2 linked regions of the Struthio camelus genome follow. The protein of the gene in region 1 purifies or fractionates together with the protein of each later gene. This does not show direct contact. Links are inferred from orthologs where the notes say so. Each region holds a gene or a part of one and is shown in the gene's direction. Other genes may lie near its edges.

The links.
Region 2: the proteins of FLCN (region 1) and FNIP2 purify together in Homo sapiens (affinity purification with western blotting; 5 studies listed by BioGRID and IntAct, with this or other methods). This does not show direct contact. The link is inferred for Struthio camelus from reciprocal best matches to the Homo sapiens genes FLCN and FNIP2.

Annotation. Positions count from the first base shown.
Region 1 is NC_090956.1:4,044,029-4,051,054, forward strand, and holds the start of FLCN (folliculin), read left to right. Parts: upstream 1-3,981; 5' UTR 3,982-4,187; exon of another isoform or gene 4,188-4,451; intron 4,452-4,875; 5' UTR 4,876-4,905; coding exon 4,906-5,154; intron 5,155-5,974; coding exon 5,975-6,121; intron 6,122-6,826; coding exon 6,827-7,026. UniProt on the Homo sapiens protein: Multi-functional protein, involved in both the cellular response to amino acid availability and in the regulation of glycolysis.
Region 2 is NC_090945.1:41,145,945-41,153,339, forward strand, and holds the start of FNIP2 (folliculin-interacting protein 2), read left to right. Parts: upstream 1-4,352; 5' UTR 4,353-4,746; coding exon 4,747-4,931; intron 4,932-7,395.

The DNA of each region.
Region 1 (7,026 bases):
TCAACCCTCTAGTACTTTTCTGCGTTGGAAATCAGTCTAAGTGAAGGCCATGCTGTAGATCTTTTCTTTGTTTCTAAAGAAAGCAATTCCTTATGATAGAATCGTATACAGCTCTCCTAAAAGCAGGGATTTATTTGGAAATAACATGCTGGAATAACATCTGGTTTTTAAACCGCTATTTCAAACATCACAGCGTTGTCATTGGGTTCTTTAAGTGCTTCGCTCTTTGAATCGATGGGCTCTCAATTTTTCTGTAGCTCTTAATGTACTTGAAGATTATTACTGTTCGAGCACCTTTGAAACACTTAATGTCAGTGCAAATCTCCTACTATCAGACATAAATAAACCTGTCATCAAGTCAGAATGTGAGCAGCTCAGCATCCAGTGCTTCCTACTTAAACACCTGAATAGGAGCTGCTTGCTACTGCTGATGACCTGCCAGTTTTTTTCAGGTGCCTAGGTGGGAACTAAGGATTTCTGGCTCTTGCCGTGTGGAACTTGTATGTATTGAGGTCACCAGTGGTTGGAAAATATATCGTTTGTGCTTCCAGTGCTGATACAGAACTGTTGGGGTTTTCATTTGAAACGGGCATCTTAATTCTAGCAGAGCCTCTGTGACTGAGTGCTCTCTAGTAGCAGAGAAGTGTCCACAGGCTGTTCTTTAGGTGGTGAATGAAGTTTTTAAAAGTATAAAATAGCAGTTTAGTAGCGAACACAGCATAGGTCCATAGCGTTAGTAGCTCACCATTGAGTACTTGTGCTTCCTATCATAGCAACTTCCATATTTGAAGGCAACTTTTACACCTAATCTTAAAGGAAAATCTTGTTTTTTTTTTTTTTTCACAACTTGCCTTACCAGTCTTGTAATTAAAGATATTTATGATTTTTAAAGTCTTTTCCTAGTTAATCCTGCAGTGATTTCAATGCTGAACATGCTCATACAATTTTCTGCTCTGGTACTGTGGAAGTGTTAAATATGTGATTCATAATGTTGTGGGCTCAAGCGCAAAGTTGGGTGGTAGAAGTATTTACGATCATATGCAGTAGTCACAGAAAGCACTGACAGTGACTAACCCCAAACTGCCACGTATACAAATATGTGGAAAGCTCGCCTTTTGTCACCAAGGGACCACTTGCCGGGGGAGAATGTATGAAGAATGTTTTCGTGAAGTTTGAGAAGAATGAGAAATGTCCACTTCGCATGGCTAACGTTTTGTAGCACTAGTTCCTATTAGTGAACACGGACGTACCTGCTGAGAGCTGTTGCAGTGGCTTTTGTATGTGTGGAGTTACAAGCAAACTAATACATGCAGCTGGCAAAGGGCAGCTTTTTTTTTTCTTTTTTTTTCCTCTTGCCAAAAGTAGGTAAAGTAAATCATACTACATGTCAAAAGGATGTAGAAATTGCTATGTGATAGTTTCAAAGCATTGCCCTTAAAAAAACAGATTAAGAATAGCAGCATTTATATATAATCTGAAAGTTTGAGACCTGCTAAAGTTTGTTTTCTGATGTGGATAATTGTGCTGCTAAATTCCCTGACTGCTGTTGAAAATTCAAAGTCAGGTCCCACCACTAGAGCTGAGTCGATGGAAAGCGTTCACCAAAAGTGCTTTGCAGAAGGGCTTCTAAGCAGGGGGGTCTGATAAATACGTTCAGTCTGGCATCTGCATGTCTTGAGATCCTATTGAAAGCAAGTCTTCCAGATTTTTAATGGAGTAGCTCCTTCAAGTCTTGGAACTAATAGCGTGGGGCTGTGGCCAGCTGAGAAGCTTTGAGAACACTTGAGCTTTCTGGTTGTAACTTCTATTCTACCAAAGCCCTTCCCTACAACAAATATAAGGCCACTACGTGCTGTGTTTATCCAAACTTAGGATGTGAGAAGTGCTAGTTCTTCCAGTCGTGCATGACCGCAAGGTGTGATCACAAAATACTGAGTGCGTGCTTTGATATCTAACCCATATTTTCATGCATCTTCATTAACTGCATTTTATATCTGCATTAATTAAGGTAACATGAGACTTGCAACTACACTTTTTAGCCACAGGAGGGATCTCCAGTTCAGTTATACGTAGCAGCTACTGATGTGGGATTTTGGGGGTTTTTTGTTTTGTTTTTTAAAGAAAGGGCTAGAAGTTGCTTGTATACAACCACCTCTCCTATTTTGGTGCCACTGAGGAGCACTAACTAGTGAACTTTGCTAATACATCTGCAGTATTTCCGTTGCGCCAAATGCTTTTGCGTAATTAAAGTTGCCTCGTTCTACACAAATTCCCTTTCTCTATTCTACAGTACAACTGCGACCCGTTTTGTGTGTTGTCATGGGTTTTCTGTATAACGTAGGAATTGTTTTCTGCATGGCCATACTGGCTGAGGAGGTTAGACCTGAGAAGCTGTTTAAATGTACTATTGGAAAATAAAGATAACAAACGAGTAATTCTTCTTAATTTGTCTTAAATGGCTGGCCTGAAAGAACGAGATAGTAGGTGTTTCTTATTTGGCTTTCTCTTGGCTTTTGGGGGGTTCTCTTGTTCTTGTCGCTTCTCAGGACAAGTGATGGCTTACAGTTGGTCGGAGGGAGACTCTAGTTGTTGTCTGCGCGTCGCCATGCCCTGTGGTCAGGAGTTGTTCAAGCTCTGTTGGTAGCTTTTCAGAGGTTTCCCGGAGTGTTTCAAGTAGGAATAGCTGGTTCCTTTTGTGCAAGCAGGCGGTAGGACCTCCTTAGGAAGAGCTGCTGCAGGCCCTGGTCCAAGACGGGCTCCAGGGTTAGATGGACTCTGGATCAAACATATGCTGCAAATGAGGTCTCTTTGCATTCAAATCTCATCTCTTGTGTTATGATCACCATCAGAATGATGAGTGCCATTTTCTCCACCAGAAGCATAACTCTTTAGTCCAAGCATGGCTGCTTGGATCCAAGGGCACATATTGTAGTAATCATTGATCTCTGCTATTTCGGAGGATTTAAACTGTCTGCAGCAATGCAAGGTGTGCTCAGCTGAATGGTCAAAAGTATATATATCTATATATTTTTTTCTGTTCTCGTGTGAAGAACAATACAACCCTCTCTCTGCCTTAGCGCGGTTTCCAAAAATGTTATAGATCTATGTTATTCCATGGCAGAAGACTTACCATAGTGCTCAGGTGTTCTAGGGCTCACCTACAGTGGAAGGGGAAGGGGGAGAATCTAGCAATTGATTATTTTAAAGCCTGAAAGGATAATTATTTCCCCTGGAATTTGAGGTTTATCTCTTCATTGCATTTTCCTAGGGATAAATAGTGAGCTAGTACCACTGCCACCACTAATGCCCAACTGGTGCAAGTGAAAGGAGGGGGGATGCGTATAGCAGGAGAGACTAAAACTGGCTTGTTTCTTTTAACTCGAGGTGGCTGCTCCCTTCCTCCAGGGTCTTAATCTGGGCCTTGCTGGGCTGACTTTCTAGATATAATTAGGGGAAAAAGACAATACTTAAAGGCTTTTTCCATTATCTGCCCTAATCTCGTATTTTATTAGTCTACAGCATACGTCGTACCGCTCGTCTAGGCTCTCTGCGCCCCCCCCGGAAGAGGAGTCCCCGAGCGCGGCTGCGTTCCCACACCGGCAGGCTGGCGGAGGCGAGCCCCGCGACCGCGCACAGCCCCGCGCCGCGCACCCGGGAGCCCCCCCACGCGCCTGCGCGCGCGGGGCGCCACCCCGCGCCCTGTGGCTGGCACGTGACCCGCCCTTTGGACCGCACCACCCGCGCCGGGCAAGGGCGGGGGTGCGGCGCCGGCTCAAGGCCCAGCGCCTGCGGTGGTGGCAGGGCGGCAGCCCGTCCCTCGCTCGTCTCAGGGGTCGGGGCTCTTTCTCGGCGCTGGGTCGCCCGGCGAAAGAGCCGGAGAGGGAAGGGAGGAGCCTTCGGCCAGAGCTTATCGCCCCCCCTACTTTTAGGGAGTGGTTCTGCCCAACGCGTGTGCAAAGGGCGGTCGTGGACCGAGCCATTGCCGAACCGGGGGGGGATGGGGGGAAGCGGCCACTCGGGGAAGCGGCCAGCAGGTGTCGGCTCCGTACCGGGGACGAGGAGCTGCCGGCGCCGCTGCGCTGCCGCGCTCCTTGCTCCTTGCCGCCCCTTGACGGCGGCCCGAGCGGAGCCGAGAAGTCATCTCCTTCCCCCTCCCCCTCGCCGTCGCGTAGGGATGGTACAGGCCGGTGGGTCAGTCAGTGTCAGGCGCGCGGAGCCACGGGACGGGCCGGGGCGGGGGAGCCCGGAGCCGCGGTGAGTGTGGGGGGGTCCGGTCCGGTCCGGTCCGGTCCGGTCCCGTCGGGCCTGAGGCGTCCTGGCCCGGACGGTCCGGTCCTCCTCACGCCGTCCGGCGGGGCCCTGAGGCGTCCAGGCCTGGTGGGGGCATCGGTCTGGCCTAGTCTCGCCCCCTCAAGGCCGAGGTGTCCGGGCCTGGTGCCGGCTGAGGGGAGGTCGGTCCAGGCTGGGGTGTCCGTGAGGCGCGGGGCCGGGTCTGCCGGGGGTCCCGCTTCTCTGGTGCGGGTCTAGCACCCCGGCGAGCAGCCAGCCCGCTGCCTGCTTGGCAGAGGGGTGACTGTGGATCTGCCCTTGCTCTGCTACGGTCCCGGCTGCGGAGCGGTCAGGGATGACGAAGGCCTGAGTTTGGTCTGCCCTGTGGGGAACTTGGTGTCAAGGCTTCGCTTGGGCAAAGAGAAGACACTCTGCAAGCTGCTGCTGGTGTCTTTCAGCATGGGAAAAATGGACTGAGCGTGTAGTCCCTTTAGCTGAGCTTAGCCCCACGATCTCATGGAGGAGCGTAGAGAAGGACTTGTGCCGAGGGGTGTTTTAGCCTCTGTTTGTTTTACTGATGTTGCGTGCTTCCTTGCTTTCCTGCAGGAGGCCTGACCTATGTGCTGAGCTCTCACTATGAATGCTATCGTTGCCCTCTGCCATTTTTGTGAGCTCCACGGTCCTCGCACCCTCTTTTGTACCGAGGTGCTACATTCACCGCTTCCTCAAGGTGCAAGCAGCGGGGACGTCTCTGGGCAGAATGAGCAGGCGGAAGAAGAAGAAGGCGGCATTCAGATGAGCAGTAGGATCCGCTCACACAGCCCAGCAGAAGGTGCCAGTGCTGACTCCAGCAGCCCAGGGCCAAAAAAGTCAGACATGTGTGAGGTAAGTGTGTATGCGTGTGTGCAGACATTGGTGACCCCTTGCTTAACTAAGGGGCTCATGGATTCTCTAATTCCAATTGTATTGCTTAGGAGGAAGAAAATGCACGTGACCTACGCTCGCATTTGTGTGTGACTGCCAGTACCAAAAGATCTTCAAGTCCTTAAAAACTGTAATAACCCATGACAGGATGTTAAGGAACTGTTTTGTGCATATAGGCTTTGGCAAGGTGATCTTTTGAGGACACTTTGGCCTATGTTACCTGATTCTCTGGTGGCTGAGAAATGGCTCGTTCATCCTTGAAGAGGACCTGCTTCATTACGTTAGGTCTGGCCGTAGATTAGTAAACTTTAACAGCAGCATTGAACAGGAACCGGGAAAAAATCCCAAAAGCAATTAAAATGATAGAGAAAATACATGTTTGCAGTTGTTCACATGCTTTTCTGAGCTACTTAAGTTAGTTACCTTCTTTTAGATAATGGCCATTTTTATTAGCTCGTTAGTTTCGCAGTTGCTGTTAACGTTGAACTGAATTAGATGACTTGTAGAGTCATCATCAAATCCCGGATCAAACTAAACAGTGGAAAAAGAGCATAGCAGCTGAGGAAATATAGCCCTTAGGATGCTAGTTGAGGAGCTGGGTTCAGATTTGGACCTTGCCTCAAACTTCCTATGTCCAGCTTACTCTTAATGAATATCTGCATTTGCATCTGTAAATGTAAACATCACTTCCCTACCTTTTGAAGGGAACATGCAGAGGGCTTTGAAAACCTTAGGTAATTGCATGCTCATTTATGGTTGGATTTTGCTTTTCTATCTTCAGGGTTGCCGCTCTCTTGCAGGAGGACATCCTGGATATGTCAGCCACGACAAAGAGACTTCAATCAAATATGTCAGTCACCAACACCCAAATCACCCCCAACTGTTCAGTATTGTGCGTCAGGCCTGTGTTCGCAGTCTGAGTTGTGAGGTAACTGGCTTGGAGTGCAGGGGGAGAATCTGGTTTGGGGCTTACGCATTGTTCTGAATCCAAGATACTGCTTCGTTGATCTTAGCCGCTCTGTGCAGCCTGAAACAAGGAAGGAATGGAGGTGGAAAGACAGACATAGAAGTCCTGTTTGTTCCAGGATTGGTGGGAATTTTCCGGGTTGATCTTTGCTAACCGGGGTGGGGGGGAGTTCCTTCCTCTTGCCTTGTGACACCAGAAGTTTCCCTTTATTGTTTTTGCTCCTATGCATTTATTGTTTTTCTTTCTGAGATAAACTGTGTTTGTAAAAATGTTGCAATCTGTTGCTTTGCATCAAGAAACGTTTTATCTTTGCAGACCGTTTACGTTCAGCATCTCACAGAAGGGAAGGGGAACCTTACGGATTAATGAGTGTTTGTGTGTCAGAATCAGCAATTCCTTGTGGAGTCTCAACGTGATTATAGTGGAGCAGAGCTGAATTCTTAAAATAATTTAAATGAGGGTCACACACTTGCAGGCTATCTCTGGAGGTCTGTTTGCTTATGTATTTTGGATAGCAGCCTAGAGAAGGCTTGTTTTATTCACCAGGTAACTTAGGCTTCATGGGAGGGGGTGTTAAAGAGCAGGAGGCTTTGTTCAAGCAGTTCATTAGTGTTTCAGCTATGCGATGTACTGAACTAGTTTGGTGTATGTGTCCCTTCCCTTCAGGTCTGTCCAGGACGTGAAGGCCCTATTTTTTTTGGAGATGAACAGCATGGCTTTGTGTTCAGCCACACCTTCTTTATCAAAGACAGCCTGGCTCGTGGTTTCCAGCGCTGGTACAGCATCATCACTATCATGATGGACCGGATTTATCTCATCAACTCCTGGCCTTTCTTGTTGGGAAAAATCAGAGGCATCATTGACGA
Region 2 (7,395 bases), on another chromosome or scaffold:
TGGCATCAAGATATATTTACTTATGTCTAATAATGTTTCTTACTCAGTTGTGTTATTTTTTTTCATATTCTAAAACTCCTCCTTTGAACAGGCACTCGAAGGCTGCATAGAGTGTGGTTTTTTTCCCCCTTAAAAAACAAAACAAAAAACTGAGGGCTTCACAGAAGAGGGAGAAGGAACAGCAAAGAGCAGGCAACCAAACCCATGCCTTAGGATACCACCCCTAAGGTGTGGTGGTGATGTCTGTGCTGGCCTGCTAATTTATGTAGGAGATATTAGTGTCTGAGATCAGTCAGTACTTGAGTGTAGCATTGAAATGCAACAAGAACGGGTACGGTATTATAAATACCTTCCATTATATTGCTCAAAATTATTCTTCAGAGGTGAAATATGTCATTCCTCATTCTCCTGTTCAAGAGCAGATTGTAAAAGCATACACAGTAAAGCTGGTAGGATAAGAGATTTCTATTCATCTCATTTTCTGGCATACGCAATTCTCAGACGTGCCTTGGCAGTATCTGCATTTAGTAGCAGTGTTCCTGGAAGCTGGCCCAGTCACATGGCGCTGCTGGAACAAGTGACATGTGAATGATGCATTGGCTGAGACCTGTGTTGAACGCGGGAGGAGGTGGGGCGGCGCCGCTGGCCGGGCGGCCTGCTCCTCTGCGCTCAGCAGAGATGCTGGAACGAGTACCGCTTGCTCCTGTCAGGCTGCTGCTGTTTGGCTCAACCTGTTTGTCTTTCAGTGCAAACTGGAAGTTGGTTATTGGAAGTGCCTTTAAAAAGACCAAGCTCTGTCCCTCTCAACAAGAATGTTAAATTAACAAGTACACCTTCTGTTCTTTGAAACTGTCGAGATGTATTACTGGGAAACAACTTTGACAAAATATTTGACTTCATTTTGATAAACTGAGATCTCCTGGCTGTTAGAAGCTACTGGGATTAGGGAGAATAGCTCTTGTGGGATAGAGTGGGGAAAGTTGATTAGGACTAAGCAAGAATTTTTGAGAAGAGACTGGGTTATGAATCTGGAGAGCTTATCTTTCTGCACTTTTAAATTTTACCCTCTGCTTGAAGTCCTAGTTTTAAAATATGCATCAATACTACCCTCTTAATTGTAAAATTGAATTAAATATGTGGATTTAACTTTTCAGTGCAGTTATGACTCTTGATTTCTTGTCTCTTTGCTAGCAAGGAGCCCCATTTCTGGGGCTAGCGGGTGAAAGTGCTCTCTCTGTGCTGTTTATGTTACCACTTCAAGCATGTTGTTTTGGGTTTTTGCATTAGCACTGAAACACTCTCTGAAACTTAGCTCCCAAACTTCTGACTTATCTATAAGGCAATGACCCGTGAATTTAGTGTCCAAACTTAAGAGTGTTGTTTGAGTTCTGAAACACTGATTTAATAGGCTATTCTTGATGTTTGTGGCAAGCTGATGTGTGCAATTTATGGTGACTTTAACTTGGTATAGAGCTGTTTGTGTAAGCCTCTATCAGGTGTTTGTGGTTTTTGTGGTCAGTTGTTTGGTATTGCTTTCTAGCAACTGCAGTAGTGAAAAATGCTTCCAGTTTTGCAAAAATTCAGTATAACCTCTCTCACTAAGCCAGGTAGTCTGTGGAGTTCCATGCTCGCAGAAAAAATACATCTAATGTTGTTTTACTTTTCATACAGCACTATGTAGAACCGTTTTCTAAAAGAATGGTAACCTTTCTGTACAGCGATCTGATATGGAGAATTGTACTTTCCCCACCACAACTCCTTCTTGCAGTAGAATCTAAACTGAGAGAGAAGTGCTGTAAATAACATGTTCCTTCACTTGTTGCATGACTAATCCGTAATGCATCCTGCTGAACTTGTGTGAAACTAGTAACTATGTATCATACTTAAACAAGGTGGTTCATCTGAGGTTAAATAGTACATTACCATATTAGGACTGCTTTAAATGATTATAGAAAAAGAACGTGATGTGGCATCAGCACGACTCTTCCATATTCAAGATTTTTAAAAGAGGGGAAGTAACTTTGGGTAAATTCTTAAAATGGGGGGGGGGGGGGGGGGAGGGAAGGTCACATCTTCTACATGAACTGTTCAACAGAATGAAGAAAGGAAATTCATCTTTAAGCAATCCAAAGCAGATTCCACTTCACCTATAAACATAAGCTGTTTTGGCACTCATCCCGAATGTCTGGGTTTGGGGCATTTTTTTATATAGTGATTTTGCTAAATGTATCTTTCACCCCCCACCCCCCAAATCCTCACTGAAACAGCAGGCATGGTTCAAACTTTGTTTTTCTATATTTCTCTAGTTGCTTTCTAAAAGATATAGTGGAAAATAAAACATTACTGGAGACTTTGAAAAGATTGTATTAAATTTGAGAACTGTTCAAATTTTAGTGGACAGTTGTAATTCATACAGAAAACTACTCTTAGTTAGGTAACTTCATTGTATATATTTCCTCTTTCTCCCATCCCAAATTTCCTTGCTAAAGTATCACCTTAAATTGGAAACATCTAGGCAATTATCTGAAGAGTCAAGATGAAGGGCAGGAAATGACCTACAAACAGAGCAGGTGACATGCTGTCACATAGCCTAGAAAAAGAGTGATTCAACACTGCTTCCCAAAGGACTATATCTGGAGGGCAGGACACTTTCTTCCATTTTATGTATTATCTCCTCTTTGGACTGGGGGTGATCTCCTGTGTGGCTTTGCTCCTGGGTGCCACCCTCCTTCCCCGAAGCTTGTGTTGATTTCCTTCCCCCTCTTCCCCCCCCCCCCCCCCCCCGTGGTAATTCCCAAAGTATTTTGGGACTTCTGGTACTCTACAGATGAATGCTACAATACTCTCATAGAAAGTCATAAAGTGCATCTATTTAATTGGCTTATTGGAGTTCCTAATTCACTGGATGTGAGTCCGGTAATGCAGTAATTTAGCTAAATGTTTCTGAATTTTGTTTAACTTTTCTTTGGGGAAGGTAGAACAGAACTGAATGCTGTCAGTTGCTGGTCCAAGTGTAACTAGTAAACCTGCCATCAACTGCTTTTCATTCAAGCTTCCAAGATAAATAGGAACGCTGATATTTGAAGTAGTGCTTGTCAATGAGGTAAGGGCGAGAAGTCACACTCTGCTAAATCATTTGAATAACTTTTGAGAACAGGCCAAAGCTTTTCACTTCTTTTGGACATTTGAGAAGGGGAGTAATTGTGATCTAGTACAGATTGCTAGTCTGGGAATTAAAACTGAGCTTTGTTTTTGGCTGCTATAGGTTTCTTGTGCAACTGAGCAAATTGTTTAACTTACCTGTGCTGTAGTTGCCGCCTTGTCATCTTGCCTAGTGGGACAGTGGTTGGGGTTTAGTGGGATTACTAAATCCTCCTAAGTAGGGTGCAGTGCTATTTAGCATGTATAACTAGGAAACTTACTACTTTTTCTAACCCTACTACTACTGTATTTCTGGGTAACCATTGGCCAAGTCACTTTCTCTCTCTTTTTCTTTTTTTTTTCCCCCCTCCATCTGGAAGAGAACTAGCCTTATTGCCATCATCTTATAAAGTGTCTAAAGCTCTAAAGATGGAAGAGAGCTATGCAAGAGATTAATTATGCATAGCCATGCATGGATACCTTTTTTTAAAGTGGAGGTGGGAAAGAGAACTTTGTTCTGCAGTGAAATTACGTGAGCCTGAAAAAAAATGTGCTGTTCTTTTAGTTTGTTAAAAAATGTTTTCTTTGTCAGAAGTATTTTGTGATATTTTTGTCATCAGTACTGCCATTAAAATGTTAAATACATGTTATCTGAACAATTTTGGAGAAAAACAGGCTCTGAGAAAAATATTTGTGAATCTGTCTCTTTGAATACTTTTAGAATTATCCACCGGGTAGCGTTTTAGGCACAGTTATAAATCCAATATCAATCAGCTTGATATTTGCTACAGAAACTTTTCTTTTTTCCTTCTACTTTTTAAAAAATGCTTTTAAAAATAGTAGTTTCAGGCTGCTAGCCAAGTGTAGATACTCTGTCCTCCACAGTAAAACCATTGTAGTGCAAAATCACTAGTGTGTTTCTTGGTGTTGGTGGGTTTTTTGTTTTTTAATTCTTTTTTTAGATAGCCATATGGCACTGATGACAGATTCTTATTTGCTCCTGAGCCCTATGAGGTTGCTAAGAGTTGTCAGATGACACTTGCTCACATGAGAACCATTAACAGGGTGTTGTAGCTGGTGTTAGAACAACCTTGCAGCAATGAAGGGCGAGTCACTGCAAAAGCAACTATGTCTTTTTTTTTTCCTCCCCCCCCCCCCCCAAAGGCCATATGGTTCGGTCTTGTGACTACATAATTGCCAGCTACCTAATCACATACCAGGAAGCAAACATAGTTAAAGTCAATATTAGTTGTTGTATCTGCTACAGCTTTGCACCAGGCTTGGTAGAAAAACTCAAACAGCAGCAAGAGCAAGTCTTTAATGGCTTCTGAAACTTGAAAGTCATATCTACTGCTCTGTCCTGGAATAATTACCGCAGTGTATTAGCTATAGCTATCTTTCTGCATTAATGGCTTGTAAAATATATGACTTTTTTTTTTCCTTAACAAGAAATTGGGCAGACTGGGTTCCTGTTTAGGGAAGAAGGCTGATAGTAATTACCATTGTTAATGACTTATCTATAGCAAAGAAATCTGAGGCTGTATCTCTTCAGCCTGTATTTGTTTTTTTGAAGGAGCTTTGCAAGAGCATCTTTAGCATAAGAAAATGTGTGGAGGAACACCAAAAGCTACAAATGGCAGGGGGGGACGAATAGAAAGAGCAAGAAATAGCAACAATGTACTACTTGGAAATAATCTCTCTCCTACCAAACTGGATAAAAGGATTAGAAAAGCTTTGGGAGACCAAAGTGTCAGCTGTGTGAGCAGAGTGACTAAAGTGCTGCAAGACAGGTATGCATGTAACTTTTTTTGGTGTACATAATTTTTGGCAGAGAATGGGTATTCTAAGTGTCTGTTGGATTTATAATCATGTGCTTAAAGGGCTAGCCTGTGAATAATTTAGAAAGCTTTGCTAGGATGATATTCTTGCTGATAATGGTGATTGATACTTCAGGAAGCCTTCCTTGTGTGAATTTGAATCTACATTCTTGACTCTGTACATTCTGTGTACATGCTAACTGAGGTCTGCTAACTGAAACTTTCTTTTCAGTTAAGGTGAAATAATCTTACCTTTCCTTTCTAATGTTCTAATTAGTTTCTCCTTTTTATTTTTATTTTTTATTTTTTTAGTCTCCTGTGTTAATGGCTCAAGTGGTAATAGTTTGCAGTGAAGATGGGAAGGAATGCTGTGAAGTAGGGGAAGAATGGAGAGGGGGCAACCCTCTGCAATACTTATAAATGATCTCTAGAACATTACATCAAAATAATGTGCAGTATGAATAGCATTTCTTTAACTTCTTTGTGATGCCCTTTTCAGGTGTGTGTCAGGATGTCTCTAGCTTCTCAGTCTCTTCTGCTGCACAGCTGTAATATGAAAGTACAGTTGAGGGCAGCTCTTTTTAAATTCTTATCAAGGGTGTTAGAGTAAAAATTATACTTTCAGGATTGCTGACCTAAGAAGCAATGAAGTATATAAGTACATATATGTGTGCATGTATGTATGTTTAAGGTCATCTTTTATTTCTTTAGCCTGTGGGTGTTACACTGAAATGGTGGTTAGTGTCTTTCTAAAGTGTTTCAGGTCAACTGAAGTAGTTTTCAAATATAAACGAATAGATCACTATTTAGTTATTGCATATGTGCTGGTTGCTAAAAAGTTGAGCTGATCAGTGTTTGCGGATCTGTGTTAACTGAAAATATTGATTCAAGGCAGAGAGGGGCAAAATTTCATAGCTTTTTTTCAGAAACAAATGACTCTGCTTTCCCCTAAGTAAAAAATCTCCTTGCTTTCAAGTCTTATGTCTGTGAGGAAAGAAATTTTGAACAAGCCAAAGAATAATAGTTTATTTGCCACCTTGGGAGAAAATGAAGCAAATTTTAAATGTAATTCTAATATGGAATAGAAGCTTGTTAGGGCATCTGTAAGCTGTTTCAAACTCACAGCTTTCAAAAAAAACTATTATCCATAGTGTTTTATTATCTTTAGTGGACCTTTTCCAAGTACAGAAAAGCTTATATTCCTGCTGTATAAACCTAGAAAGGTTGTTCTTGTCTTGAGGATCACATTATTAGTTCTGGCATTTTCCAGACATTGGAAAGATCCACTTTGAAGGTGAGGTTGAATAAGCTGGACTGTTCAAAAAGCTGATGTTGAAAGGAGCAATCACATTCCCCCTTCTTCCTCTGGTTTCTGGCAGCATGCTCCTGTCTTCCACCCCTTGTGCTGGCTTTGGTGTTTCTGATCTTTTTAGACCTGGCTCCATTAGGGAGTCAACTCAGACAACTAAGCTAGCAGAAAACTAGATCAGGAAACAAGAAAACCTAATGAACATCCCAAGCAGCCCCTGTACTTACTTGCAATGTTTTCTTTGTGCTCTTTCCTGAAGGTGGAGCTGTGGATGAAGTTAGCATAACTCCTGCTGCCACCAAGAGGTGGAGGTGCTGTGGTCGTCTTCAGCATCTTTCTTCTCTTTTCCAGCTTGCCTTCTGGCCAGCTTTCTTAGGCTGGCGTGGATTTCTGCTGTTCTAGAGAGTTCAGGTGGCTTACAGAAGGGTCTAACAGTTCTCAGAGCTGACATGAACAAGAGGACAGGTTGTGCATTTACGAAGAGGGGAGAAATGATATGTGGGATTGCTTTTCATATTGTTATCAAATAAGGTGTTTCGTTCGGTCAAAATAGCCATGTTTAACCTGAAATACAGCTATCCACATAGGCTTACATTCATTTAATGAATTCAGCTAATTTTTAAGAATATGCAGGATCTAGCATAATGTCTAGTTTTTAAGACAAAGTGAAACATTTCAGTTAGCTGTCAGATGTTTCTAGAACTTCAGTCTTATCTCCCCCTTACCTTTCTAGGGCGTGCTTATGTCAGAAATCAAATTTATCATTTTGCAATAAATTCAGACTTAGCTTCAAAAAACTAATTTTGTTCATTGTATTTGTAACTTTAAATAAGTCACTTATGAATATGTATGCCTTCAGCACAGATCACTGATGGAAGTTATTTTAGCATTTTTTTTAAGTAATTCCTTTACAAGAATTGAAGACAAAATCTTCTTATATAAGCAGAAGGAGAACAAGTTTTACATAAACAGGGCCGAGGCAGATGATGTTTCAGTTAGTATATGGTGAAATTTTTATTTTTGGAGACTTCTTCTAGGCTAATTGAAAGAAACAGCAGTTGCTTTGTTATCCAAAGGTAGTAATTGTATCTCTTATTCTTGTCAAGCATTCATACCAAAAGTGAAGCT